Linked DNA regions of Rhinolophus ferrumequinum. Each later gene encodes a partner of the first gene's protein in a complex. Links are inferred from orthologs where the notes say so. Each region holds a gene or a part of one and is shown in the gene's direction. Other genes may lie near its edges.

Region 1 (7,701 bases):
AGGAAAGAAGGGTCACTTTCCCTGTGTAAGTAAAGGAAGGCAGCAAGGGTTCTGTGGGCAGATGAGTTTGAGAAACACTTTTTATCTGTCACCCCCCACCCCTGCCTTGGCACATCTCAATACCCGTGAGCTTATTCAGGCCTCAGAGGAAAATCTATGGTGACCTTCATGGGTCTGTGTCTCCCCGAATTGTGTCCCAGGGACTACATCGGGGAAAATGGGACCTAGAGACACAGCTTGCTACCAGGCTCGCAGGTTGGGCCAGACTCGGGACCTGGTGGAACTGAGTTCGAATGCAGATCCCCCAAACGCCCCACATGCCTCAGTTTCCTCATCTGTAAAACAGGACATCAACATTGCGTGGAAGGGCACAGGGGAACAGAGAGAGCTGCTACTTGGCACACAGTGGGGCCTTCTTTCTCTTGCAGTCCCAAACTCTGACCTCCTGGCCTTTCCCACCAGCTGGCCAGTTGAGGGCCTGCACCTCACGCTGGACCCGCCTGGAGACCCCGCTCCCTCCTGGCAGCCCCGGCTGCTCAGGCAGGTCCCGGTGCCTGCAGGGGCTGGAGGGAGGCCCCGGGGCCTACACTGTTCCCCGGACGGCCTGCTCTTCCTGACTGCTGGGGCTGCTCCCTGCCTCCATGTGCTGGACCTCGAGGGACGCTCTGTCTGCCACCTGCCCTGCCGCGTGCCTGGGATCGGGGACTTTGTGCCAGAGGACGTCGCTGTGACCGCTGCTGGGCTCGTGGTGGTCAGCGACCTTGTCCATGGGGCCGTCCACACACTCCAGCATACTGCCCGGGACCCCCAAGGCCGCTGGGTGACAGTGGGTACCTTCCTGGCCCCCCAGGGGCTGGCTGTGGACGCCCTTGGCCGCTTCCTGGTGACGAACTATGTGCCGGGGGCTGTACACAGCTTTACATTGGGCCCCAACTTGGAAGCACTGGCCCCAGCCTCTGTGCTGGGTCTAGACGGCCCCCGCTGGGTGGGCCTGGGACCCAATGGGGGGTTTGCCGTAAGCGAGGAGTTTGGGGACGTGCAGCTGTTTGGCAATGCCTACCAGCCCCTGGGCTCCCTGGGGCGCCTGACGGGGCACACCTTCGGCAGCCCAACTGGTGTGTGCACCGATGCGGAAGGTAGTCTTATTGTGGCAGATGAGCAGCGTCGGGAGGTGACCCTGTTCCCCAGGACTGGGGCACCCGTCTGCTTGGTGTCCAAGGGGCTGGGGCGGCCCTTGGGTGTGGCCTGTGTGCCCCAGAGTCGGCTGGTAGTGGCCGATGCAGGGGACAGCTATATCAAGGTGTACCAGTACTCAGAGCTGACCTGACCCAGTGGGCTTGGATGGCAGCCTGGATTCAGCCCTCAGGTCACCGAACCACCGTGAGAGAGGCATGTTCAGGGCATCGGAGGGCTGCCGGCCATGCCCTCCTGACCCTGCACATTTTCTGAGCACCTGGTCTGGCTTCCTGGCTTCCTCTTGGAAAGGATTCAGACTTGGTCAGCAGGCATGAATCAGCTGCCTGTCAGCACCCCCTGCAAGGTTCACAGCCTCCAAAGCTGGTTCTCGCCATGCCCCAGCTCAGGGTGCCCCAGCGCCGTTTGCCCCCATGTACACCCAGGCCGTGGCCCTGCTGGCGGAGGGCCCAGGGGGCCTGAGCTTTGGAGCCAGCAGCTGAAGCCTGGAGATATTTGGCGTGCTGGGCCAGCTGCCAGCTCTTACCCAAGCAGGATTTCCCGCCAAGTGCCCCAGCCCCAGTCTCCTAATCAGACACGGGCAGGCAGGGTAGGTGTGGCTGGGCTGAGCTGCACTAAGCTGGGCGGCCTGGGAAAGGGTGCGGCCCCTCACTGTCCCCCATTCTCAGAGGTGCCCGAGGTTCCGAGCACCTTCTGCAGCTTCTCTGGGCCCAGCTGAGGTAAGGAGGAAGCAGATGGGGGCTGCCCTGGAAGCGCCCTGGGGTGGCACATGGCTCCATTGGGAGCCTTCATGCCCTTGGCCACTTCTCCCACGTGAAACCGTCTCACAGGCTGTCTGACCATTCATTTTCTCCCCTGTAAACCAGGACCACACAGCCCAAGTTCATGGGCGGGGGTGCTGGGAGGGTTATGGGCAGTGGTCCCATCTAGGAGAGGCTTCCTACGGGGACATGTGCCTGCTGCTTAAATACAGCAGGAAAGTGAGGCCCCAAGAGGGTGGGGAAGGGCGGGTTACTCTGAGTCTAGAGCCCAGTGAGGCTCCTGGTTCCAGCTAGGGGTCTCCAGGGGGAGGGGACAGTGGCTGGTCCGGGCCCTGAGAGCTGGTGAGGGGGTGCTCCTGTCTGTGACCAGGACTTTCAGGGTCTGTGGTTCAGGCCATCACCTCTGACAAGATTCCCTCCATAAGTCCCAAGCCTCTGTGGGTAGGGGGATTAAATGGATCAATCAATGTAAGGAACCGTGTGTAGTAGATGCTCAATAAACATTAGTTGTTGCTGGTGTTAGGGGTATTGTTTCCTGGAGCAGGAGGGACCAGGGACACCCCTTGACGATCAGATCAGTTGGCTGCTGCCTCTGAGCTGGTCCTCCAGGGCCCAACAACTTCCTGGTCAGCCTGTCCCTAGGGGAACCTGGGGGGGGGGGTGCCCCTCTGCAGAGACCAGTGTGTGAGGGGGCCAGGCTAGGGCTGGGGAGGGAGCTCTTTTATGGGATCCCACTAGGGTCTGGAGGTCATTTCACCCTGGGAGGGTGGGGGCAAGGCGAAGTACAGAACCCTCAAAAGCCAGGTCCACTGGGTCCCTCAGATGAGGAAACCCAGGGAGGTTTGGCGGCTGGGGGAAGGTGAGGGGCTGGAAGGCAGGGGTGTTACGGACTCTGCGGGTGGACTGGAGGGGGATCAAGGACGCTAAGCGGGGGGGGGGCACAAGGTCACTGGGGGGGAACAGGGACGCTGCGGGGGCGCGAGGACAGGGACGCTGCGCAGTGGGGGTCACAAGGGCGCTGAGCGCGCATCACTGGCTCTGGAGTCGGGAACGTTGCGTGCACGGAACGCTTGGGCGAGGCCAGCGGGCAGCACGGGCGCCTTTGGGGGCCGGACCGTCGCGCGGCAACGTCGGGAACCCGCGGAAAAGGGACTCGTGTCCCGCGGCGCGGCCGCTGTGGGGCTGGGGGCCGTGAGCGCGCTTGTCCGCCCGGGCCCCCGCGACGTGGTCCCCAATTCCATCCTGACCCCGCCGCCCGAGGGCGCGGCCCCGGGGAGCAGCCGGTGAGCGTGGGCGGGGAGGGCCGGCGTCCGTGCGGCGTGACCTTGGGGAGCTGCCCCCCCTGGCCTGGGCTGCGGGCCCCGACACAGGCGGGCGAGCGGGAAGATCTCTCCGAGGCTCCTCCCGGGTCCGGCCCAGGCCTCCCGCCGCTAGGAGCCTCTGTTTCATCGTCGGTAAAATAGGGACGTCACCGTTTGCCGCCTCGAGGGGGCCTGCGACTTAGGAGAGCAGTGAGCGGCCCGCGGAGCCGGGTTCGCTCCGATCAGGGAGGATTCGTGGCCGGGTGCGTGGGTGCTCTTAGCGGGGAGGCTGGTCCCAGTGCCGTGTGCGGTGAAGGGCCTCGGAATGATTCCCTTTGACCCCCCCCCCCAACTTGGGGCCTGCTGCGGACCCTTTGGAAGGGGATTCAGGGGCAGTGGAACTGGTTGTCAGCACTTTGTCCTTGTCCTTGACTACAGCAAAGGGCAAACAACCAGAATCCTAGATTCAGGTCCCTTCTTCGGAAAGGAGAGAGAAAAAGCACTGTTCACACAACGTGAGAAATTTTTTTTTTTTTTTTTTTTAACACAAACGACCTGGAGTGAAAAAAAACGAATTCTTTTGAGCTATTGAGGAGGGAGCAGTGGTGGGGAGGCTTCGCAGAGGGGGGTTCCGGCCAGTGAGATGTCCCCGGCTGGTCCTACCTGGGCTGTTCCCTGAAATAAGTTCACGCAGAGGGTGAAAGGGAAGTGCAGCTTCTGCTTCGTAAGGCAGACTGTTGACCTTCAGTTCTGTGGCGAGGGGTGTCCCAGAGATCGGACTGTTTCATAAGGGAGCTCGGGTGTCGTTCTTAACATGGGAGGCTTTTCCAGGCCTGGACCCCCCAACCCCCCTTTATCACAGTCTTGAAAGACGTGCACGTTGCCCAGTTACTGCCCTGCTTTCCCCCATCTGCACCTCTGCTATTGATTGCCTGCTCTTTCATCTCTTTCTGGCCGACTGATCTGAGCAGACTTCTTTGTGTTCCTCACTCCCAGAGGCTGAGGTGGAAGCTGGGGTGGGAATTTGCACCATAATCTGTTAAAGAGTTCTCGCTCGCTACCCCACGGATAAGAACACCCCCTTCTTGCCCTCTGCTCTTCCTTAGACATGAGGCGCTGCTGCTTTTTTTCTTTTCCTTTTTTAGGTAAACTTTGTGGATGAAGCGTAACACACACAAAGGAAGTGCACAAGTTGTACGTGTACAACTCGGTTTTTCCCAAAGGGAACGCACCGTAGAACCAGCTTCCCCCAGAGAAGCTGTCAGCCGTTAGAGCAGTTGTACTTCTTTTCCGACGGTAGCCATGAGCGGTTTTCCTTAGCTCCTGGGAAAGGCGTCCCCAAGCCGGGTGTGATGGTGTCATTTGGGTGAGTTGGTAGGTGCCTTTCCCTCCCACGATGCCATCAGGAGGGCAGCCCCTGCAGAAGGGTCAGGAAGACGAGTTGGCACTGCATGCCCTTGTTGAGGGTTGCAGGGATTTGGCCTGGGGCTCTTGTCAGGCTCCAGCCTTTCCCCGGCCAGCACCCACTGTTGCCTGCCCTCCCTGGTCACTGGAGGAGGGGCATTTGGGAATCCTGCTGCTGCTAGACTCAGAGGGGTCCTTTTCAGCTGGAACCCACAGCTGGGAGAGGCCCCTTTTCCTAGCTGCCTGGAGGAGGCCTTGACCCTCCAGCCCCATGCTGGGCTCCTGCGAGGGGGGAAAGCAGCTGCACCAGTGCCTCTTAACCCCGGTGTTTATGTCTGTGAGGCTCCTCTTAAAGCCCCCTGGCCCTCAGGCAAAGGCTCCCTGTGCCTCCTACAATGTCACACTGCCCCCACGTTGTGTGTCCCTCTCTGTACCTTGCCCCATGGGCCTGGTGAGCACTAGAGCTCGGAGGCCCAGGTTCAGTCCAAGGCCTGTGTCTGTCCCTCAGGTGTGGCCTCCAACGTGGGGGGGGGGGTCTCAGCTCAGCGCGGCTGTTCTGTCCTTTGTGCCGAGTAGCTGCAGTTGGTGTCAGAAAGGGCATGCTCGAAGGTGAATGCCCTCAGCACCATGCGGTTGAGGTCCTGCTGCCATCTGGGAGGGGCTCAGGTGGGAGCATGAGGTACTTGTTAAGAAAGCCTCATCCCAGGGAGCTTCCTTCTGGGCAAGTTTAGGCACAGGGTCCCACCGCGTTTAGGAATTGCAGCCGCTTGGGCTGCAGCCACTTGCAACTGAATTGCTGTTGCTGCTCAGAGGCCGTGTGAAGGTAGTGAGGGGCCTGGAAAGCTTGCATCTCTCATCCTGAGACAAGACGACAGGCTCTCTCCATTCCCCAGGGCGACCAACTTCTCCCACCCCGATTTCTAGATAGCCACCTGGTTGGAAGAATAGTGCCCCAAGGAGGCGCTCGGCCCTATCTGGAGGCCTGCGCTGAAGTGGCAGATGGATGGGCTCTCAGGGCAGGATGGGCGCGGCCATAGGCTGGGGGGTCAGATGGAGGCAGAAGCCCCGTGAGAGCTGAGCCTTTTCCCTGAGCACTGAGGCTCCCCCAGGGGCACGTCCCAGGCATCTTCTGAGGCGCCTGCACCAGTCGGTGCCCACAGCCGCCAACAGTGTCCACATGTCTGGTCTCCCTTAGTCCCGCGGCAATTTGTTTAAATTTCATCTTTATTCTTGCTGGCTTCGTAAGTAAGTCAAGGTTCGATAGAATTTTAATTTGCGTTACTTTGTTAATGAGACTGTACATTTATCCCCGTGCTACACATAAAAAAGCAAATCAGTTTCTTTTTATGTGTAAAACAAAAGTTGAACCTCTTGCTCAGTTCCACACACCCTGTGGGTGGTACTGAGCAGGTCACATAATCTTGCCCTGGGTCAGCCTGCTTCTCACTGAATTGGGGGAAAGCGTTGACCTGCCTCGGGTCGGGGTGAGGGGTGATTTGGGGCCTGTGCTCGCAGCTGCCCAGGGCAAAGGTGAGGGAAGCGCCCATGGGAGATGGGCAGCTGGGACCCCCCACTGGCCTCCAGGATCAAACCCACAGCAGGGTCACCCCAACCTGTGGGCCCTCTAGCCACGTGGACATGTCCGGCGGGGTATCTGCGCTACACACTGGCCAAGGCCTGCGGCCACAGCCCTGCCAGCCCCCCTGGGCCATGGAGAGCAGTGGCGGCGCAGCATGTCTGAGCTGAGTCTCCCTCGTCTCTTGCAGTGACCCCGGCATGGTGCTCAAGGCCTTCTTCCCCACGTGCTGTGCAGCGGCGGACAGCGGCCTCCTGGTCGGACGGTGGGTCCCGGAGCAAAGCAGCGCTGTGGTCCTGGCTGTGGTGCATTTTCCCTTTATCCCCAGCCAGGTCAAGGAGTTCCTGGCGCAAGTGCAGCAGACCAGCCAGGTGGGCGTGGCCGTGCTGGGGACCTGGTGCCACCGTCGGCAGGAGCCCGAGGACAACCTGGGCCATTTCCTGGAGGGCCTGAGTGCCATCTTCTCCCATGAGCCCTGGCTCCAGCTGTGCCGGGAAAAGGGCAGCACGTTCTGGAGCTGCAAGGCCACGCGCTGGCAGGGGTCCACCTCCCCCGGGGCCCCCAGCGAGGACCAGGTCATGATTGTCTTCTACGACCAGCGCAAGGTGCTGCTGTCCCAGCTGCACCCGCCCGCGATCCTGCCTGACCAGGAGACTGGCGATGCTGCAGCCGGCGCTGTGGGCCTGGCTGCTGTTTTCCACACGGTGGCTCGCAGCGAGGTGCTCTTCCGAAGTGACCGGTTCGATGAGGGCCCCGTGCGGCTGAGTCACTGGCAATCGGATGGTGTGGAGGCCAGCATCCTTGTGGAGCTGGCCAAGTGGGCCTCAGGGCCCATCTGCCTGCTGCTGGCCAGCCTGCTGTCCCTTGTCTCAGCTGTCAGTGCCTGCTGGTAGGTGCCCCTAGGGCCGGGATGGGACGAAGTCAGGCTTCTGAGTCTAAGGCCCACCCCTCAGTGTGCAGGGGGCCCAGGCAGGCCTTCCAAGGCTCATGGCCGCCCCTGTACCCCAGTTCTCCCGTGCTCCCTCCCCTGGATCTCAGAGGACATCCTGATGGTGGCTGTTCTTGTGCCACTCGCTCCTGGGGAAGAGCCAGGCTTTCTGGCAGCCTCAGCGGTTGCATGGGACCCACCAGGTAGAGGTGCTGGGTGAACCTCAGATGGCTCCAGCCCCCGAGGGGGAGACGAGTCGATGGACAGATCGGGCTGTCACCCGAGGACCATTGTTCACCCTGCCTGGGAGTTGTTCGTTCTGAATATACGCAGGCCTGCCTGCTTGCCTGGCCCCCACACCACAGGAGAGGCAGCCGCGGAAGCCGTGGGGTGCGTCCACTGTCTGACAGCCATGGGTGTGGGGTGGTAGTCCCCAGCCACAGCCATTCTCTAGAATCACCTGGAACACTCCTGGCTCCGGGCCTGGCCAAGGGATTGGCAAAAGTCCCGGGGGCCATGGGGAGTGCTGAGGCAGCA
Region 2 (6,095 bases), on another chromosome or scaffold:
TTAAGCAACTGTATTTTCTCTTTCATGAATTTTTTTCATATTTTTGTCCATTTATTGGACGTTTGTTTTTAATGTACTCATTACAATTGCAACTTATTAATAAATATTTTGTGATTTTTGTTCCTAAAATAGATGTTATCAAATTAAGGAAACTGTCAACATAAAGGCAAATCTTCATAATCACAGAAAGAAAAGTACAAGCAGAAATAAATGTTAGTTCAAATACTGAATGATGCCATCTAGTGGAACACTGATTTTAACTTACTCTCTGGATCAGAGTCCGTAATTTCAATGCCCCCAAATTTAGTATTTATGGGACTTTATTAAAATATGTATTCTACATAGCCTCTCCTCTGCCTGGAGATTTTTAACTCATTTAATGTATAGAATAGCCCAAGAGTGTGTTTCAATAATATTCACATTGGAAACTATAAAAATTCCATGTTAGTTAAAATTAAGGTGATACTTTATGCTTTCCTTTTTCATCAGCATTTTCACCAATTTCACCATAATAAGTAATTTTGCTGCTGATAACATTCTTTTAAATGAGTAGTCTATGCCAGCCCCTGTGCTAACTGCTTTACTTGTATTATTTTATTTAATCCTCCCAACAGCTGTAATAAAGTAGGTACTATTATAATGCTACAGCCAGGTGTACCTGGGAGATATCACAGGTTTGGTTCTAGACCACCATAAAAAAACAAGTATCATAATACAGAGAGTTGTAATCTCGCTGGTGGAAGGTCTTGCCTTCAGTTTGTAGAAAATGCAACATCTGTGAAGCATAATAAAGCCAAGTGCAATAAAACCAGGTATGCCTATATTTTAGACGATTGAGGCAGAGAGTTTAAGTATCTTCCCCAAGGTCACACAGCTAATACGGTACCTGAGCCCATAGCCCATCGTGTTATTACATGTGTGTACAGGGCTCTGTGATAAGGAAGATCATAGTCACACCAATAGTCAAAAAAAAGACTAATGATTTTACAATTCTATACTGTCACCTACCTTCAGCTTAGTATACTACATGCAAAACTTAGTTGCATTCCTTAATTACTGAGAGCCGTTAAGGAACATTTTGCTTTGACATTTTGCAACTTGTATTTACATGGTTTGGATTAATACACTTTTATGTTCCTTACATATTAGTTGTAGATTTTTGCTGCTATAAATTTGAAGATGTTTTCAGTACTTTGCTGTTACTCTCCATTTTTCCCCAATACTAATATAAATGAAAGTAAACTGATCTGCTTCAAGCCTTCTATGTGGAGGCAAACTGAAACTAATTTATTTATAACTGGTTAGCAAATCCAGTTGATAGGGATCTGTCAGGCAGGCCAGGCAGCTGAGGCTAACGAAGCTGGCCTTAACCACGCATGCCTGCCCCTACCCACACCTAGCCTGCCCAGCCTGGCCTGGCCCACTTAGTGCTGGCAGAAATCAAGCTCTGCTTCCCCATACCTCACTGAAACGTATCTTTCCTATAATTCACTCTCTCCCTAGGGCCCACAGTATCAACTAACTACAAACTGAAAAATTAATTGCTGCTACTGCCCTCGGAGGAAATAATGTGACGATAACATAGGAACTTTGAAATTGTCCTTCCTGAGGCTACAAACCTGACAACTGCCCTGAGCTGAAATCTTCTGAACACTAGTGAACAAAGGGTGTTAAATAATGTAGTAGATTTTAAAAAATAGAGTGAGCAAACAATGTAAAATTTTCTCAGTTTATTGTTACATTGCTGAGTGGAAGAGAAGTTTGTGTATGTATATCCCTCACCCTCATTCCTACCTCCCAGGAGCTCAAAGTGTGAAATGGTAAAGCCCATTGATGTCAAGAAGGTTCAAGTAAATATTCAGCAAAACAAAGGGGGAAAAATGATGACTAACAAAAAATCTTGTAGTGTATTGAACTGGGAAGAACAGAGGAAATAAAAATAACAATAGATAACATTAATTGAGCATTAATTTGTTCCAGGCAATTTTCTAAATGTTCGGAATGCATTAGGACATTTTAATCCCCACAAGGGGATTTCATTAGGTAGGTATAATTATGAATCTTATTATACAGATAAGAAACCTGAGTAATTAAGTCATTTGCTGGAGTCACTTAGCTGGTAAACTATGGACCTGGAACCAAACTGTCAGGCCCCAGAACCCCAAATCCTTATCTACTAAACCGTAAGAAAGAGATCAAACCTATATCAATTCCTTGGAGAGTCAGAGACAAATATAGGGCGAAAAATCCACTAAATGGATCACCCCCTTAACTAATGGACATCTGCATGATCACGCAGTTATTTAGAGTCCTCGATGTCTCCAAGCTCATTTATACAAGTAAATTAATTGTGAGTTATTATATAATTGAATTCATGAATCCCTCAGGGTAAGAATCTGGATGTCTTGGAACGTTAACAAGACCAAGCCATTCTTTTCAGGTTCTTAAATCTTTTTAAATGAGAGAAGAAAAAGAAATTTGCCAAACACGGTTACAGGAACTGTGATATAATAAAGATTTACATAAAACAAATTAATGCTTTTAACATACCCAACATGACAGTGTTTGAAACTTCATTTGGGAGATAACCACATAGGTCCAAGACTAATAGTGTGTGACTGTGAAGTCCGGCCAATGTTTCCTGGCAGCCTGCGACCGTTTCTGGTGAAAACTCAAGGAACCCCGACTTATGCATTGGTTTTGTTTGTAAATGGTAAACGCGGTGGAACAGCCACCAGACGCCTCCGGTAGCAGGTCACGCTCAGCACTCTTATCGAGCAGTGCTGCGGCTAAAAGCAGTCGGGAGTGCCCACGGAACCAAAGCGCTCGGCCCCGCCTGCCCGGGGCTGAGTTTCCAGAGCACCGGGGGGCGGGGACTGGCCTGTCGGCTGGAAGTGCGGAAATCGCCTAGAGCGGCCCGAGCTGGCGAAGGGCGCGGTGAGAGGCGGTCGCGGGCTGCCAGACCATGCTGAGTGGAGCGAGGGGCAGGCTCGCCTCAGTGCTGCGGCAGACACGCGCGCCGTCGTTCGTGGTCGCCCGTAGGTGCCTGCGCGTGTCGAGGTCGCGGTCGTCGGCGGACGGGAGTGAGAGGGGGAAAGTGCCCCAAGCTTTCGACCCGGCGCTGCTGGAGTTCTTGGTGTGCCCGCTCTCCAAGAAGCCGCTCAAGTAAGATTAGCCGGCTGCGTTTCCTTTCATGGCCTCCCATTGCGGGGAGGAGGCAAGGGGACCGCGCGGCCGCTTGCAGCCGTGGGGGAGCCTTTCAGGTCAATCCGGGTAGTCTCCGCTGCCATTTTCTGGGGGCCCGCCAGTTCCCACGCATCTCCCTCTGTGGCAGGAAAGGCGGGAGGAGAGCCAAGCCCCAGGCCTCCCAAATCCAACCGCCGACCCGCAGGCCTGAATAGAAACTTAGAGGTTCGCCACGGACTGGGCGTTAGAATTGCCGGGGTACCTTTTAAAAGTGTAGATTCCCAGGCAATATCCCAGGCGACCGAGTCGGAAGGTCTGAGGGCAGGGCCTGAGCAATTCTGTATTTTCTTAGAAAGACGCAAAGTGTATAATCTAATACACAGCCAGGTTTATGAAGTAGTGGGATTCAGGAGTAGTCCATAGCATTCACGTTTTTAAGCCAAGATGATGGAAAAAAAAATACCGTAGTAGCCTCCAGATTCTTGTGAAAATGTCTACAACTGATGCCTGACTATCTTAAGCGTGTAAACTACGTGTGCTGCCCTTTGGCTTTTAGTTCTGGACTAGCTGGTTTTGTAAAGGCCTCCTTAACCTTTAGCTTACAATCCTTAGGATAAACAACTACAGTTCCAGGTTGCTAAAACTGAATTTTGACAACACGAGTATTGCAGATTGAATATACTGAACATCAAGATGTTATGAGTGGCTAGCTTTGGGTGGTAGATTGCTAATAATTTTAATTTTCATCTTTTTGCATTTCTTTCTAAATTTTTCCTATAATTAACATACTCAATTTTCTTAAACCTTCAAATTATCATTTGATCTACCTTTTAGCTAATTGTGTAACTAGCTCACTGCAGATTGGTTTTCCAATTTTCTCATTTCTGCCTTTTCAGCTTTCACAAACTTTTGTGTACTTTGATTTTTCAGAGGTTTTCTTCTAATGGATCAGTTAGGCTGCTCTAGTACGCCTGTATTCTAAAACAAGGAAGTTGAAATTTTCTCTGTCCCAGTAGTAAATTAACTGGGACGGTTTTGGAGATGACCAGAGTAATGAAGGAATGTTTGGATGAAAAAGGGAGAGCTTTTCTGACTGGTATTTTAAAAAATTAAGGCGTAGCTTGCGAATAAAGTGAAAAAAATATGAGAAACTGACTAAAATGGGAACGATTAGAGATTCATTTTCTATGAGAAATGGTTTGACTATTGCTGCTTGTAGAATTAAGTTTTTTTGTTTTGTTTTGTTTTTCTTTTTTAATTTATTGGGGTGACAATTGTTAGTAAAATTACATAGATTTCAGGTGTACAATTCTATAATACATCATCTATAAATCCCACTGTGTGTTCACCACCCAGAGTCAGTTCTCCTTCCATCACCATATATTTGATAGAATTAAAAGTTTAATTCTGCTTTTCTGGGATTAACTCTGAAGAATTGGATAAACAGTGGTGTTTATTAAACATCAAGCTCTTCCAAGCATTTTGTTTTCCACGATTCATTTTATTTTTCTTTTCCCTCAGATACGAAGCATCAACAAATGAATTGGTTAATGAAGAATTGGGAATAGCCTATCCAATTATTGATGGGATTCCTAATATGATACCACAAGCTGCTAGGATGACACAGCAAAATAAGAAACAAGAAGATACGGAGCAACACTAGATCATAATTAAAAACAACAAACACAACTAAATTTTCTTAATACCATCTACGTTTTAAAAAGTCAGGGTGGCAGGTAATAAGTGGAGGAGAAGAATGTTTCTCTCTCTTCCTGTGTTGACTGTCCTTATTCCATTGGTCTCTTTAGCAGGACTGTTCTACTCGGCCTCTGTGGAAGAAAACTTCCCACAGGGCTGCACCAGCACAGCCAGCCTGTGCTTTTATAGTCTGCTCTTACCCATTACTGTACCAGTTTATGTGTTCTTCCACCTTTGGACTTGGATGGGCATTAAACTCTTCAGGCATAATTAATGCAGCTAGAGCCCAGATGGTACATACATTAATGCTATGTTGAGTGTCTATATCTGAAAGCTCAGCTGTATGGAAATACCAGGCACACGCCTAATTTGTAGGAAAGATGCTTTACCTTACTTCTGTCAGACTTAGGACTATGGGATCTAATTTATAACGGCTATGTCAGAAGAAACATTTCAACAAAAGTGTGTTGTTTGAAATTATAGTCCTGACCATCATCTGATGACTTTATTTCTTACCCCATTCATCTGAAAGTTCATTTGAAATTTTATGTTTTAGAGTAGAAGTCTTTGGTAAAGTCACGTTACAGATGACTGCAGTAAATTCCACCAGAGCTATGTTAGAATAGTTGGAGAGAAACGCATTTGAACTAGTGTGATATAAAACTACAATAAAGTGGAAATTTTATGGACTTGCAGAAATTCTGAGTTTGTAAAATTCATTTCTTTGGTATCAAATGCTTACATTACTAATAAGACAACACTTTTCCATAAAAGTTTTCATGGTTTTGTATATTTTGTTTTTGGTCTCAAGAATGTGGGTCTAAGGAAGGGAAAAGTGAAAAAGTATTCTAAAATTTAAAATGTAGGCTATTTTTAGACACTTAATAGCCAAATAGAATAATTTCCCAGGAAAGTATGTACTTTTGGAGGTAGAGGTAGGGTTAGAAGACTTGCAAATAGCTGTGTCCTATTGCACTTACAGCTGTGTTTTGAGCCACATTTTAGTTTATTTTCCTGCCTTAGGAGACCTGTTTAGCACTACTAAGGGCATGAGTATCAGAGACATTAATAGTTCCTGATTTTCCAGAACTTTCAACAAGACTGATAGAGAATAGTACAATAACTATTTTAGAGGTATAACAAATGTTTCAGTAGTTACCCTAAAGAAACTAAGAATTGAATATACTAAACTTAATTGATTCTTACTAGAA
Region 3 (7,777 bases), on another chromosome or scaffold:
TAGGGCAATACTTAGAGCTGGTACTACAAAAAGAGAATGATACACACTCAGCTGTGCTGAACAGATGTACATCACTGTTACAGCTGGAATCTAGAGCAAGTTCCCTGGGTGTCCAACCTGATGAGATTTTTGAGGTAAAAAGACAGTTAACCTCCCAAGAGAGTAAGGTTCTCCGGTGCAGTAAGCTGGAACATAAGAGTAAACAGTCTTTCCACAAATGAGAAACCATCCAGCAGGTAATTTGACATGTGCATTAGCATAACTCACAGAGGGAGCAGAGCTGCAGTTTAAGGTGATATCGGCTGAAAGATTAAAACAGTGGATAGAACAACCGGTGAACTTGACACATTTTTCTGCCGGGGTCACAGCTGTTACTTGTAAATGAAACATGCTCCTGAATCTTTTAGGGAACTAATGGGTCCCCTATATTTAAGTGACTGCTGAATCTTTCCCAAGCTAACAACATAGGAGATAACAGAATTGAGGTTAGAATCTAAAGCAGTGGGCAGCAGTTAGAGCCAGGGCTTTAAGGTCTTTTAATAAAACTTTTCCAGAGTCCTTTTTAAGTTTAGTTTGTTTATTTTACATTTCCTCTAAGGTATAGACCAATGATAAGGAACAGGCTGAGTAAAATGAACCCAAATCTGGGGGCTGTCTTTATCTTTACAACCAGCAGTCTTCAGAGGAAAAAGGTCGAGTGAGCAGTTGAGACAGAATAAATGGCTTCTATATTAATCAGGAAATTAACAGGCTTACCTGCCACATCAGGGTCACCCGCAGTTTTACCCCTGTGATGAGAATAGCTTGGGAGCCGCTGGGAACTTTAGGCCCAATAGTGATTACAGCTATTTTTGGGGAGAAGTTGGTCCCTGCTCCCTTCAGAACGGGGGGCAATTCCTCCTCCAGTGCCCTTTAGCTTGCACAGGAGGCACGGCTGCTTTGGAAGATTAGGACACTCCTTATTTCAGTGCTCTGGGCTTCCACATCCAAAGCAGGCTCCTTTATCTGGTGTTTTTTCCTCTGGGGCTTTTGGGGTGCCCTGAGGTGGTTTCAGCCCCGGGTTATTTATAACTGTGGCCAAAAGTCTGGCCTGTCTCTGGTCTTATCCTCAGGTTTCACTGTTCCTTAATTTCTCATTTTTTTCTGTCTCGGTTGTTAAAGACATTTAAACAAATTCCTGGCCTTCTTTAGGATCTCAGCCTCTTTATCAGGGATGTAACAGTGGGCTAGAACCATTAGAATATCCTGCCAGTTAGGGGAAAACATTAGGCTTATAATTTCCTAAGTGATAAGGGCACTAAGCACATCTTTTATTTTGATATTTGTTTTTTGACCCCAGTTCCTGACACAGGGTTCCTAAATCCCTTGGAATTTCCTGGGTGATAGCAGTGTCCTTTGTTCTAATGAGGCAACTCTAGGCGGACTCCTGGATGGCTCCTGGATGAGGGCTGGTCACTAGAAAGACCAAGACATGATTAGAAGCTTAGAATTTCAGCCCCGCTCCCCATTCTCCAGAGAGAAAATGGAGTTAATGATAGATCATGCCTACGTGATGAAACCTCCATAGAATCCCAAAAGTACGGGGTCTGGAGACCGTCCAGGTAGGTGAACACATCCAGGTACCGGGAGGGTGATGCAACCCAACTTCACAGGACAGAAGCTCCTGTGCTGGGGACACCCCTAAACCCCACCCACCTCTTCATTTGGCTGTTAATCTGTATCTTTTATCATATTCTTTATTATGTAACAAACGGGCAAACTTAAGTATTTCTCTGAGTTCTGTGAGGTGTTCTAGCTAATAATCTAATACAAGGGGGAGATCATGGGAACCTCTGATTTGTAGCCAAGTAGAGGGCAGTCTTATAGGATTGAGCCTTTAATCTGTAGGATCTCCAGGAAGATAGTGTCAGAATTGAGTTAAATTGTAGAACACCTACCCAGCTGGTGTCACAGAGAATTACGCTTGGTGTGGGGAAAGAAAACCCCACACATTTGGTGTCAGAAGTATTGTAAGTGTGGTAGTAGTGTGATAGTAAAGGAGAAACACAGGAGGAAGACTGAGTTTTTTTCTACAACAGTTGTGAATATATAATGTAATACCTAAAGCAACCACTAAAAAAACTATATAAAGATACACTCACGAACACTATATAGATAAAATGGAATTCTAAACAAGGAAAGATAAAATGTGTTATACTTATCTTTTCATGCAAAATAAATTAATTTATTGATCAATTTCACTAAATTGCAACGAGTTTTATAAGTTTGCATTTATTTTTTTTAAAAATTGAGGTATAATTGGCAATACTTATCTTTTTAAAAGCCTATTTGGGATTTCTTTTGATTTATATGGGCCTTTACTTTTCCTCTCCAATGGGTATGTGGCCCTATATAGAAGGAGACATATTCTCAGTTAAAACAGCAGGAATCATTAATGCTATATAATAAAAAAGTGAATAGAATAACAATTACAGTATGAGATACTATTTTTAGAACAACCTTTTACTCCATAAGTGTAAGCAGATACTAAAAAGTTCTATAGAAAGATTTTAAGAATCCAGCGTGGGCCATAAAAATTAAAAGTTAACTGAATTCTTTGATTAGATTTTTTCTTATTATTCATATTCATAGACACTCAGGTTCCAAGAAGAACTTCACAGTAGAAATAATTACCCATCTTATCAAAGGTAAATCAGATTAATCCTACCTACTGCCACCACGGTGCTCAATTCACTGAAATGTATTTCCTGATTCTTGTAGCCAAAACACTTTAGAAAGTATAACAAAGACTGTCTAGTTGTTCACCAAATCATTCTTTCTCTACTAGGCATACCGATAACATTAAGATGATGCTGTGATCTGACAGAGCAAACTGGTTATAGAGATTTGGGGATTCTATTACCACTATTTATCCCTAATAATTTAATATTTAAAAAATTAAGTACATTTAGGTGTCTTTTTTTCTATGACTCTATAGTTATGAAGCTTCTGAACCTGCGCAGGTTCTTAATCTTTTTGGTGCCACAGACCCTTTGTAAGTCTGGCAAATCTAATGGACCCCTTATTACAGTGTTTTAAAATGAATAAAATACGTAGGATTAAAGAAAAACAACTAAATGAAACTACAGTCACCAAAATATATTTTAAATATTATAGTAATGTGTGTCTCTAGTGACACATTAAATAACAAGATCTAGTAGTGGGTCTAATAATTATTGCAATTTTGAAGTACTAATGAGTGAAAATATTTTGAGAGAACTAACAATTGTGAAATGAAAATATCTGTGGTTTCTATCAGTGACAAAAATCACAAGTATACTAATACTAATTGGTTTGTTGCCTGTGTTTGTAATCAAAATAAATGTTAAATTTCAATTAGAAGTTAATAAAACTAAAGATGAAACTGCTTTTTATCCATGGAGCCCAGGTTAAAAACTCTAGGACTAGAGGTTTCCTCCAAACGTTGACAGTGTTTATTTCTGAGTGGTGGAAATATGAGTGGTTTAAATTTTTCTTCTTTTCTGTATTTTTCAAATTTTCCACAATAAGCAAACATCTTTTATAAAGCACATCATATGATATGTACCATGAGAGGGGTGTATTGGTTGGTAAGATTCAGAGTACAGAAACTGGAAATACGAAGCAATTATTGAAGAAATTCCTTTAGAAAAAAAAAGGAAACAAAATCCTCGTTATAGATGGAGAAACTAAACCTTTCATCAGAAACTTAAAGCTGGTGAGACCATTAAGCCATTTATCTTTATACATAAAGGGATCAATTAATACATGTTGCCTCAGGGCTCAAGTATCATAACTCTTAACAGGCCACACAGACACTCTTGGGCCACATTTGAAGGAGAAAGAGGGAAACCACAGGCCACAATTACAAGTTTAATTTTATTATCCATACTTTCTGCGTTTTCCACTCTTGCTTACCTCCCAGCTAGGACTTGTCTGCCTGTTCAATGCTCCACGCTGTGGTTTGGGAGAGAGAATTCCCAGGCAGTGATATTCAAACTCTTTAACAGGCCCTACAACTCTCAGGAATCTGACTCCTACCTACCTCCCCAACTTCCAACTGCGTTCCCCATGCGTCAGCTTCTCTGACCTTTTGATTCCTCCAATAAGCCAACTTTGTTCCAGCCTCTGGGTCTTTGCTTTTCCTGATCTTCCTTCCTGGCAAATTCCTCCTCCAGAGTTCCCCCAGACCAATCTGGCTCCTCATCCTTGTATCTCGAGAGGCTTTCCGGAATACCCTGTTGAAAAGTCCCCAAGCCATCCCTGCTGGTCATCTTATTGCCAACAGCACTCTCTGAAATTACTTCTATATTTTTTGTCTTACGAGGAAGGAAGCTACTTGAAGACAAGGACCTTGTCAATATTGGTCACCGCTGTATACTCAGCACCTGAAACTTCCTGGCCCAGAAATGAATGGATGAATGAGAATGAGCTGTCTCCTCCGGGCGTATTCTGCCTTAGAAATAGAAATCAGTTTATCGAGCACAAGCGCGTTAAGAGCGGTTTTTATCTGTCCGCTAAATTGTTAGTCCCCTACGAGTCTCTGGAGTAGATAATCCTAGAATTCCAGCCGAGTAGGAGTACGAAAAACCTAACCTCCTAAACAGCCCCATGGGCTCTCGGCGCAGAACTGAGGCTGCGCAGAGCTTGGGAAAGGGCGTGGCCAAGCCCGCTCTCCGGAAGTGGGTCCAGAGCGGGCGGCTAGAGCGGCGGGACCCGCGGGGTGGGACGGGCCGGCCATGGAGAACGAGCAGAGCTTCTCGGATATCTGCGGCGGCCGCCTGGCCCTGCAGCGTCGCTACTACTCCCCGTCCTGCCGGGAGTTCTGCCTCAGCTCCCCTCGGCTCTCGTTGCGCTCACTCACCGTGGTCACCAGCACCGTGTGGTTAGCGGCCTACGGACTCTTCACTGTCTGCGAGGTAGTGGAGGGTGGGCCCCTTCCCGTGGTTAGAGTCGGGGACTCAGGTTTAGAAGGATCTTTAGGGCCCTCGGATCTATCCCGGACCTCTCGCCGACCCTCCTACAGTCGTAGGGCCGGAGGGCGGGCACTCGCTTGCTCTGGAGACTCCATTCCGCTGCTGGACAGCTCTTTTCATTACGTTCAGTGAAGTTGGTACTCCTGTACTTTATCCCTCTCGTCCGTCGCTGCTCGGCTCTCTGGTTTCAGCCGGCATACATCTAGTCCTTGCACGACAGCCTAGAACTTTAACTTCCATGTGCTTTATGTAGTACATGCTTATAGTAATTCATTTCAAGGGTTTAGAGAACTAGTAAGTGGATCGTCTTCATCCATGACTTCCACACCTCGGAGGAATCACTGAGAACAATACCTTAAGTACATCTAGTCTTCCAGAAAGTGTCTTTGCCTCCACTGTGTGTGTGTGTAGCGTGTGTATATACACACACGTTATTGAAGACCTTGATAGTTCTTCCTAATCTCTGTTGTAACATGGCAATCTAACCCCACCTCCTCCCAACCGCTTTCCCAACTTCAAGAACTTTCTAAAGAATTATGAAATTTCAGAGATGGGTAGTTTCTATGCTCAGTTTACAGACTCATGCCTATTTTTTGAGCCTGTTTGTTAATCTCTAAAATGGAATTATCATCTGTCATACCAGCTTCACCGTATTGTGAGGGTCACGCAGTAGTTTTGTGATAGCCCTCAAATAAAAGGAATCGTCCTAATTGCCCTTTTCACGATGAGTTTAGTTTCGTATGTAGTGTCCTGAATTGAATATAATATTATTCCAGGAGTGATCTGATCAGCGCTATTTATTTCTGTAATTTTTTTTTTGACTTTATTGGGGAAAGGGAACAGGACTTTATTGGGGGAATAGTGTGTACTTCCAGGACTTTTTTCCAAGTCAAGTTGTCCTTTCAGTCGTAGTTGTGGAGGGTGCCGTTCAGCTTCAAGTTGTTGTCCTTTCAGTTTTAGTTGTGGAGGGCACAGCTCAGCTCCAGGTCCAGTTGCCGTTGCTAGTTGCAGGGGGTGCAGCCCACCATCTCTTGTGGGAGTTGAACCGGCAATTTTGTGGTTGAGAGGACGCGCGCTCCAACCAACTGAGCCATCCGGGAGCTCAGCGGCAGCTCAGCTCAAGGTGCCGTGTTCGGCAGCCTTCAGTTAGGAGCACGGAGCTCTAACAGACTGAGCCACCGGGCCGGCCCATATTTCTGTAATTTGATAGAACTTCCTTTGCTGCATCCATTAACTTGTTTTGCCATCAGAGCATATTTCACAGCATGGAATTTAGCATAGATGTATGCATAATTAAGACTGCCCTAATTTATACCAAACTGTATCTAAAAGTTTGTTCATAAGTCAGTCAAAATGGTTAATTTGCCAGGACAGTCCTTCCCCCTCCCCCAAAAAGATTTAATTCATAATGTAGTTGAATTTTAATACTAGCCTGGCCATGTGGTCATGTGAGGAAGAGGGAACAGATATTAAATGCCCACTGAGTGCCAGCTGCTTTACTGAATGTCTCTTTTCAACCTTAGAAGAAAACCAGGGCTCAGAAAGCAGAATAACTTCTCCAAAATCACAAAGCTAGTAAGTGGCATACCTGGGCTTCAAACCCTGGCCTGTCTGACTCTGACACCCTTTCATTTCCACTAAACTATGATGTCTCCTCCTTGGGGAGGGTTTGCTTCAGCAAAACTTTTAGATAGAGAAGTTTATTTTTAAGCTAGTTCCCTTGTGTACTTGTCTCTTTAATCCTGGTCTATACTACCACTTCCCCCCACCAAGTACCCAGGACTCAGTAACCGCATCTTCTTTTTCAACTCCACTGAAACACTTCTTAAGAGCTATGTGTACCAAAATTTCTTATTTTTCTTCCTAGTCAAAACTCTTCATCAGGATAATGAATCTCCGCTAGGAGTGAGAATTATGACGAAGGAATTCCTTAAAACATGGCTTAACTTCAACCTAAATGAATATTGAATTGTTAAACAGAAAAATGAAGTAGAAAAAAATGTAGGTAATGATGAAGTTTTAGATAGGGATTGCCTTCTTGAAAAGCTGATATGGATCAAATCCCCTAAGGATTTTCTGCTCTTCATCCCTTCTTTTCTTCCAGTTTTTGAATTCACATTTCTATTAAAATTCCAAGTTTTTCCCTTATTTATTCCAGCCTGGAATGTTGTTCTCCCGCCTCCCTTTTCTCAACTAAGTATATGTATCAATAACTACCACCTCTGCACCAATTAAATACTATTCCTTGGAAATCTTCATGGGACATTCTTGTGTGCTTTAATCCCTCCCCCGCCACAATCCTATTTTATACTTGTAGTCAGTATCATAATATTCATAAAAAATATTTTATATATGAATTAATTAATTTTGCCTCTAATAAATCTGTAAGGGCCAGTACTAAATTTTACTTCTCTCAATTCTTCTGTAATTATAGCTTTAGTGCAAACTCTGTACAAGGCACTGTGCTAGATATTAGGCATTTAATTAACTCAAATAGTAGATATTTGATATCAAATATCAAAGTAGATATTTCTGGAACATCAGACACCCAACACATAGATTTCTCCATTCTCCAATTGTTAATCAACAAATAATTATCTAGCATAAAGGTGAGCAAACTTTTTCTTTAAAAGGCCAAATAGTAACTATTTTAGACTTTACAGATCTGTCTAATATTCTTCTATTTCTTTTTCCTTCTTTTTTTTTAAAACAACCCTTTAAAAAATGTAAAACTCATTCTTAGCTCAAGGTGGACCAGACAAAAATAGACCACAGGCCCAAAC
Region 4 (7,250 bases), on another chromosome or scaffold:
GGGTGCTGCCTGCTGTGCAGTCAGCGGCCCAGCTTTAGCAGCCCGGCTGGAACGGGGCACTGCCTCTCCTCCCTCCCGTCAGCTCCAGCTCAGGCCTGAGACCCGTGCCGAGAAGGTTCCCTCTGCCCAGGGCTGGGTCTCGAGCAGCTGGTTTCCTGTAGGAAGCCTGGAAGGAGCCTCCCAAGCCCGTGGAGGTCGGGGGCCTGACCGTGCTGGGCAAGCACTGCCCCATTTTTCCCCTCAGGGTCAGCTGGCCCTGGCCTGGGACCAGTGCTAGAGGGGCAGGTGGGCTGTGACCGGACTGGCTGGAGCTGGCTTCCTGGCCAGAAAAGCCTCAGCCCTCCTCTGAAAGCACCCCTCTCTTTGGGCAAGGGAGAGGCAGGCCCTTTAAGGGGGGCTTTTCCAGCAGGGAGCAGTCTGGCTCTGCCCCTGCGCCTTGCTAACGCCTCTGCTCTGAGCACTTTCCTCCCGGTCCTCGTTATTTGCTTGAAGGTGGGTTCTGGCTGCCAGCCAGCCTCTGGACAGACTCCCCTGCCACTCTTAATTTCACTCATCTTTGTATAAACCCAGCAGGCTGGTGTTTACTTGGCCCTATACTTTTTTTTTCCTTTCCTCTTTTTTTCTTTATTTCTTTTTCTTTTTTTTTTTTTTAGGGTTCACAGTTTGATATTTTCTCCTCCCCCAGGTGAGGGGAGGTGGTTCTGTTCTCTGCCCTACCCGCTGGCTGGGTCCCAGCAGGGCTGGGGATCTGGATGGAGAGCCAGGATACGGGTTCTCTCTCTCGTAGGGGTTAGGGTGGAGGTGCCCTCCCCAGGGTGGGAAGGGTCCTTTCTGCCCAGCTGACAAGAGTTGGAGTCATGGTCTTGGAGCCTCCTGGCATTGGAGTCAGAGCATTTCTAGGATTTTGTGGTGGTTGTTATTGTTTTAATCACCTAACTCTTTTAGAAAATGAATGTTAGAAGGTGCCTGCCGAGGCAGGATGGAGCATTTGCTCTGGCTGGAGAAGGCTCTGGTCAGCTCTGTGGGTCCCTTCCTGCCCCGTAGACACCTGGCACTTTAAAAGGGGACCAGCTGCACTGTCTCCAGATGAAGTGGCCCCCAGAAGACGGGGCAGTGCCGCTCTTCCCTCTGTCTGCATGACCTCAGCCCAGTGGGGAGGTGCATTCAAGGTGTATTTGGGGTCTGATTCAAGTTCTGGGGCTTTAGGCATAAAGCAGCTGGCTTTGGTGCTGTTGGGGAGACTCCCCCAAAACAGGAACCCCAGCCCCTCTCTAGGCGAGGTCTGAACTTGACAGTCACCCCAGAAGGAGACAGAGCCTGCCACATTCTCCCATGACAGGCCCTGGGCCGGGGTAATTGGACAACTGAAAATTCGGCCACAACCAAATTGATGGTGGCTGGAGCTGGAGTCCGGAAGCTCCGGCCTCATCCCCATATGGGAGCTCTATTCTTCGGCCCTCTGGTCCCTTCAAGCTCAGTGAATTCGCACTAGGCACCCACAGCTCCTGGACTTAAAAATTCTATATATATAGAGAGAGATAGAATATATTAGAGATATTTTTGGAAAGGAATTGGTCTATGCAATGCCAGTTTGGAATCTTCTTGGAAGACAGTTTTAACATTTTTACTAGGAGATTTAAAGAAAATAAATACAATATTTTTAGGTTATTTTTTTCTAGTCACCCCACAAACTGACCATAGGGCATGATCTGCCAGGATGGAGAATGTCTACGTTTTCCTCTCTTTAGGGAAGTGAGCAGGGAGATGGGGGGGAAGAAAGGTCTTTTTTTTTTTTTAATTCCCCTCTTATCTAACAATGTCGCCACCACCACACCCTAATTCAATGGGCTGTGTTTGTATCCGTCCCAGCTTCTATTGTAGAAAATAACATTGTAAAGGGAAATCAGCCTAGTCAGTGTCTTGGTTTGGGGGACAAAATTAAATGTTGCAGTTTTTGTTTGTTATGGCATGTTGGTTCTTGTTTGTTTGTTTTACCAACTTGACTTTAGGATCAAAGCATCAGATGGAAGCCAGATGTGTAAGGTGATGGTCGGGGGTGGGGAAGGTGTAGGTGGCCAGGGTTCTCCAAGTCCCGGTGCAGTCACAATTGTGACCACCTTTATTACACCAGAGTCCCGGACAGGAAACGGGCCCTGGAGAGTAGTTTCCTGCCAGTCTCAGACCTCAGAGCCCAAGTTCTAACCACTGCTCTACGGACCTCCGCAGTAGTCAGGTGGCTTTGAACAAGCATGCCTGAAGACAGAAAACTGCCTGTGCCTCAGTTTTCTCAGCTGCGGGCTGTGAGGCTGTGGATCAAATGAGAAAGTGGGTGTACAGCCTGACCTATGGGAGGTGCCAAGTTCATTCCCATCCTCTAAAGCCCCAAGCCTGCATTGTCTCCAGGCCTAGGCCCCTCATCCCTGCCCTGTCTCAAGTTACAGAGCAGCCTGCACCAAGCTCTGGGAAAGGCAAGTCGCCCTGGGCCTTTAATGATCTCAGAAGTGGCAGGAAACCTTAGCGGCTTTGAACGGGCCAGAAGGGACCAGACTACCAGGCCTCATCCCTGTCACAGCACTGCATATCCTCACCCCTTCTCAGGGCTGATGTCCAGGCTGATTCTCAGTCCCTTCCTTTGTTCAGTGCACACCTGGGGAGGGAAAAGTTGGCTCCTGACTAAGCCCAAAGTCTCCTGAGACAGAGGGAAGGAATTGGGCTTTAGGCCCAAAAGGTTGCTCCTTTGGAACACAGTCATGCTAAATGAAAAATCAGCATACCAAAGGGCAGGGAATAAAAAGGTTGCTCCAGCAGTTGCCATAGTCAGAGATGGGCTCAGATGACCCAAGGAGGCAGATGCTGCCAGCCAGGTTCAATCTCCACGTGCCCCTCCACCCCCCAAAATGGAGACAGCAGGAGAGCCTCCACACAACCCCTCAGAAGGCCTGGAGTCCTCAGATGCTGAAGGCTAGCATTCTAGGATCTAAAATGTCAAAGAATCTTAAAGCCAGTTGGTTGATTCAAAGCTCCTACTTTGTGCCAAGCCCCATTCTGGGCATTGGGGATACAGCAGTGACCACAGACCCTAGGCTCAGGGAGCTCACAGGTGGGCCACATCAAGTAAATCGGCTAATTAAAACGGTGCTGAGAAGCGTCATCATGGAGACACAGTTGGGGCTGTGGAACACAGAGGAGGGAACCCCCGTCAGGGAAGTTGACTTCCCTGGGATGTGTAGCCCTGATGAGTGAGGAACAACTAGCCCACTAGCTTTGAGGAGACAGTGTTCCAGATTCCAGAGCTGGAGAACACATCAAAGGTGATGAGGCCCAACCTCCCCTTGCTCTCAGAGGAACGGACCTCCAAGCCTGGAGAGGATCCTGCACACGCGGCCATTCCCAAGACCTGCCTGGACTGCTGCTAGCGCTGCCGCAACACCCAGGGCCCCAGAGGCAGACGGTGAGGGAGGAGAGGGTCACCCTGGCCTCGTCCCTGCAGTGAAGACAGGACAGGGAAGCCAGGCGCTGGTAAGGGGACGCCTACCCTTACAGCCAATCGAAATGAGCCCCATCGCAGCAGGCTTGGGCCAGCCCCTCCTCCTCCACCCCCAGCCGGGCGGTGAACATTTTTTGCACCCTTCCCTCAACACACATTAGGGCCTCGGGACCAGGAAATAACTGGCATGCACACGCCAGGTTCTGGTGTCGGCTTCACCACAGACACGAATTGTGATCTCCCGCAAGTCCTCGCCCGTCTCTGAGCCTCATCAGTTTCCCCATCTGAGAAATGAGACTTCCAACTCTCCCCTACCAGATCTCGCTCTGGCTTTGGGACTCTGGGATATTTAGAAATGGGCTTTTCTTCAGGGGCGAGTTCGACAGGACTGAGGCCACGAGTACCAGCCGGTCTGGGTTCCCAACTCGGTCCCATTCTCTAGGGAGATTCGGGAACAACTTGTTCCCCCATACCCTTGAGAAACTACATTTCCCGACATGCAAATGGGGAGGCGGCGCCTGCCTGTCTTGGGCAACGTAGTTCTGGGGCGGCCTTATGTTCGGCGACTCCCGGCGTGCCCCGCAGCCGAGGGCCCAGATGCGGAACCGGATGTGGCTGGCTGCCCCGGTGCGGAGCACCGGGGAAATGGTGAGTTTGTGGCAGAGTGCTGGGGTTGGGGATCCCTGGTTTGTTTAGGAGCCGGAGCTTGGGCACTCGGAACCAGATTGCTCTCCCGCCGGCTCATTGTACAGATAAAAACGCTGAGGAATCAGACTGCGACGCCGCCCCCCCACCCCAGTAGTGCACCTAAATAGAGGCACTTCGTCAATTGAGCCCTCCCTTTTCTCCAGGCCACCGGGACAGACCAGGTGGTGGGACTTGGCCTCGTTGCCGTTAGCCTGATCATCTTCACCTACTACACCACCTGGGTGATTCTCTTGGTATGTGTTCTTCCTCCGCCCTCTCTCACCTTCTCCCATTCCTGGGTCCTGCAGCCGACCCCACTGTGTTAGGTGCTTTACCTGAATATCTTATGAAATCTCCGGAACAACACTGTGAGGAGGATGCCAGTGGTATCCCCATTTTGTAGATGAGGAAGCTGAGGTTCAGGGAGAAGGGTCGGACTCAAGGTCGCGTTCTTAACCGCTGCAGTGTAAAGCCCTGTTCCTGATTTGCTTTCCCTTTGATGGGTCCAATCCTTCTGGTTATTCTGCTGGCTCCCGGGCATGGCAGGTGCCAGTGGCTTTCGTGAGGGCCTTTCGGATGTGTGTGTGGAGCAAGGGTTTGGTGGTTAGTACTTATGTGCAGTGTGTTTGGAGGGCAAAGTCTTGCAGAACTTGGTATCGTTTGGGGAAAATTGTCAGTAAAGAAGATCTTGGAGCCCAAATTGGGAATTAGTTGAGGATTCCTCGTGTACCCTTTGCCCTTGCTAAACTGTGAGGGCATTAGGGCAAGTCCTTCGACTTCTGTTCACTGCCAGGTCCCTAGCACCCACTTAGGGCAGGTACCAGTCAAGTGCACAGTAAACTACCGTGTTTCCCTGAAAATAAGACTGGGCCTTATATTAATTTTTGCTCCAAAAGAAAAATTAGGACGTGTTTTCAGGGGATGTCTTATTTTTTCATGTACAACAATCTACGTTTATTCAAATACAGTCATGTCATCTTCTAGAACATCGTCGTAACGTACTAAGTGCGCCTGTCTGGCTGACGATCTTAACTGGGGCTTATTTTCGGGGTAGGTCTTATTTTCAGGGAAACACAGTATTAAATAAATGAAGGAAGGAAACAAACCAAGGCATCCAAAATGCCATCTTAAACAGAAGCAAATGCTGTCCCAGTGCTTTGAGTGGGTCAGCCCGAGACAGAGGAGGTGGGATGTTGGCTTGGGGGGGCTGGGCAAGGCAGGGAATGCTCACTGGAGCTCTGCCCTCGATGCCAGCCATTCATCGATAGCCAGCATGTCATCCACAAGTACTTCCTGCCCCGAGCCTACGCCGTTGCCATCCCACTGGCCGCCGGCCTCCTGCTGCTCCTGTTTGTAGGTAAGTCATCATGCCACCAACCCTGGGCAGGGTGTCTCCCACCCCTCCATGTGTGGCCACACTTTGGCACTTGCTGTATGTCTGCTTGCGGCTCTTTGCCCCCAATTCACCCCCAGGGTTTTCCTGTTCATCCTTCAGGGCTGCAAGTCAGTCTTCCCATGCCTCAGGCTCTCATGGGATGTCTCCCTTTTTCCGGTTCGCTCCACCGGCATTGCTCTGCTCACACCTCAATCACCTCTCACCCCCTTGTCACCCAGGCTCATGGTTCCTGCACCTCTTTGTCTCCCATGGTTTAGTTTGTGGGCTTCCCAGGACTGGGGCTTTATCATGACTGTGTCCTCACAGGCTGTGGCACTAAGCTGGTGCTCAATAGAGTGGTTTGGATTAGTCAACAATCGGATGACTGGATGATGCAGTCGGTGGGTGGATGCTGGATGTTGAGTGGGCAGGTGGGTGGGTGGATAGGTGGGTGGACAGGTGATGGATTGGGTGAGTAGATGGATAGCTGGGTGCAACTTGTACCCCATAGAATCTGAGAGACTAAATGTAGCAAACTGCCTGTGGCAGGCACTCAGTGGTGTGTTTCGAATGAATGTGGGTGGATGTGTGGCTTGATGGATGGCTAGGGAGATGACCAGGTGGTCTGGAGGGTGGTTGGGAGGGGCTTGGTCCCCTGTATGTGTCATTGTGCCATGCCATGCCCTGCTCTGGCCTTAACAGCAGCCCTGAGCCCCGATCTTATCTGGTCTTTCTGGTCTGTATATTCCAGGAGTGTTCATCACCTATGTGATGCTGAAGAACCAGGTGACCAAAAAGGCTCAGTGAAAGCCCAGCAGGGATGAGGCTGCTGGCCCCTTCTCTGCTTCCCCGCAAGGGCATACCAAGGGCAGGGGTCCACAGGACCTATTCAGGCACTGTGGCGCCCTCAAACCTGGCTGCTCTGCAGACACCCTGAAGGATGGAGCTGTTCAGAACTCACCCCTGACTGACAAGAGCACCCACTGCCCTGCTCACCTTTCCAGAAGCTAGGAGGGAGGAGTACCTGAAGTCTCCCTCTCTCCCCCTTCCGGCTCAGGGCCTGAAAGATGCTAGTCCTCCCTGCCTCACCTTCAGACTCTGTCATTTGTTTTCCTCTGGTTCCACCCTCTTGCCTCAGTTTCCCTCCTGTTACCTGCTGATACTGGATTTGGCAGGTTCTAAGACATCACATGACCTCTCCTCACATGTCCTCCTCCATGAAAGCAGCTTTCCCGGGTCTGACATAGCCCCAGATCCCACAGGACTTCTGGACCTGGAACACCTAGGCGGGGGGACAGACAGGCCCCAGGACCACCGCCAGGCCTCAGGGCGCATTAGAGTGGCCACACTGGGCCCCCAGACCTGCTGCTCGTCATGGAGACCCAGCCCCTCAGTCCTGACACTGGCCTTGGCCTGCTGGGGAGAACTGAACAATAAATGTTTTGGTGTGTTTGTTTCTGTGGCATCCCTGACCAGGAGAGCTGGGCTGCTTGTAGTCCGGAGAGGGTCTAGGAGCTGGCCTCGCACTAGTCTCAGGTCAGGAGACCCTGGTTTGTGCAATGAGGTGCCTCAGGTGCCTCCTGGATCGTCCCTATGCTGGACACGGGATCAGGAGGGAACTGGGACAGATGTGGTTTCAGCTTGTTGCAGCTCATGGCTGGGGAGTCGGTGGAGGCATGGCAGGCTACCAGACCCCATGTC

Evidence for each region.
Region 2: PIGQ (region 1) and PIGY share a complex: the UniProt entries of both Homo sapiens proteins name them as parts of the glycosylphosphatidylinositol-N-acetylglucosaminyltransferase (GPI-GnT) complex. The link is inferred for Rhinolophus ferrumequinum from reciprocal best matches to the Homo sapiens genes PIGQ and PIGY.
Region 3: PIGQ (region 1) and PIGH share a complex: the UniProt entries of both Homo sapiens proteins name them as parts of the glycosylphosphatidylinositol-N-acetylglucosaminyltransferase (GPI-GnT) complex. The link is inferred for Rhinolophus ferrumequinum from reciprocal best matches to the Homo sapiens genes PIGQ and PIGH.
Region 4: PIGQ (region 1) and DPM2 share a complex: the UniProt entries of both Homo sapiens proteins name them as parts of the glycosylphosphatidylinositol-N-acetylglucosaminyltransferase (GPI-GnT) complex. The link is inferred for Rhinolophus ferrumequinum from reciprocal best matches to the Homo sapiens genes PIGQ and DPM2.

The regions. Positions count from the first base shown.
Region 1 is NW_022680357.1:2,531,879-2,539,579, forward strand, and holds the start of PIGQ (phosphatidylinositol N-acetylglucosaminyltransferase subunit Q), read left to right. Parts: upstream 1-4,412; 5' UTR 4,413-4,608; coding exon 4,609-4,622; intron 4,623-6,426; coding exon 6,427-7,125; intron 7,126-7,701. Other genes in the region: NHLRC4 (NHL-repeat-containing protein 4), read left to right, coding at 429-1,327. UniProt on the Homo sapiens protein: Part of the glycosylphosphatidylinositol-N-acetylglucosaminyltransferase (GPI-GnT) complex that catalyzes the transfer of N-acetylglucosamine from UDP-N-acetylglucosamine to phosphatidylinositol and participates in the first step of GPI biosynthesis.
Region 2 is NC_046288.1:42,455,451-42,461,545, reverse strand, and holds PIGY (phosphatidylinositol N-acetylglucosaminyltransferase subunit Y), read left to right. Parts: upstream 1-4,905; 5' UTR 4,906-4,942; coding exon 4,943-5,158; 3' UTR 5,159-5,301; downstream 5,302-6,095. Other genes in the region: PYURF (protein preY, mitochondrial), read left to right, coding at 2,966-3,165, 4,708-4,849. UniProt on the Homo sapiens protein: Part of the glycosylphosphatidylinositol-N-acetylglucosaminyltransferase (GPI-GnT) complex that catalyzes the transfer of N-acetylglucosamine from UDP-N-acetylglucosamine to phosphatidylinositol and participates in the first step of GPI biosynthesis.
Region 3 is NC_046289.1:29,113,454-29,121,230, forward strand, and holds the start of PIGH (phosphatidylinositol N-acetylglucosaminyltransferase subunit H), read left to right. Parts: upstream 1-4,686; 5' UTR 4,687-4,757; coding exon 4,758-4,937; intron 4,938-7,777. UniProt on the Homo sapiens protein: Part of the glycosylphosphatidylinositol-N-acetylglucosaminyltransferase (GPI-GnT) complex that catalyzes the transfer of N-acetylglucosamine from UDP-N-acetylglucosamine to phosphatidylinositol and participates in the first step of GPI biosynthesis.
Region 4 is NC_046295.1:76,946,559-76,953,808, reverse strand, and holds DPM2 (dolichol phosphate-mannose biosynthesis regulatory protein), read left to right. Parts: upstream 1-3,974; 5' UTR 3,975-4,042; coding exon 4,043-4,135; intron 4,136-4,338; coding exon 4,339-4,428; intron 4,429-5,428; coding exon 5,429-5,531; intron 5,532-6,300; coding exon 6,301-6,356; 3' UTR 6,357-7,001; downstream 7,002-7,250. UniProt on the Homo sapiens protein: Regulates the biosynthesis of dolichol phosphate-mannose. Regulatory subunit of the dolichol-phosphate mannose (DPM) synthase complex; essential for the ER localization and stable expression of DPM1.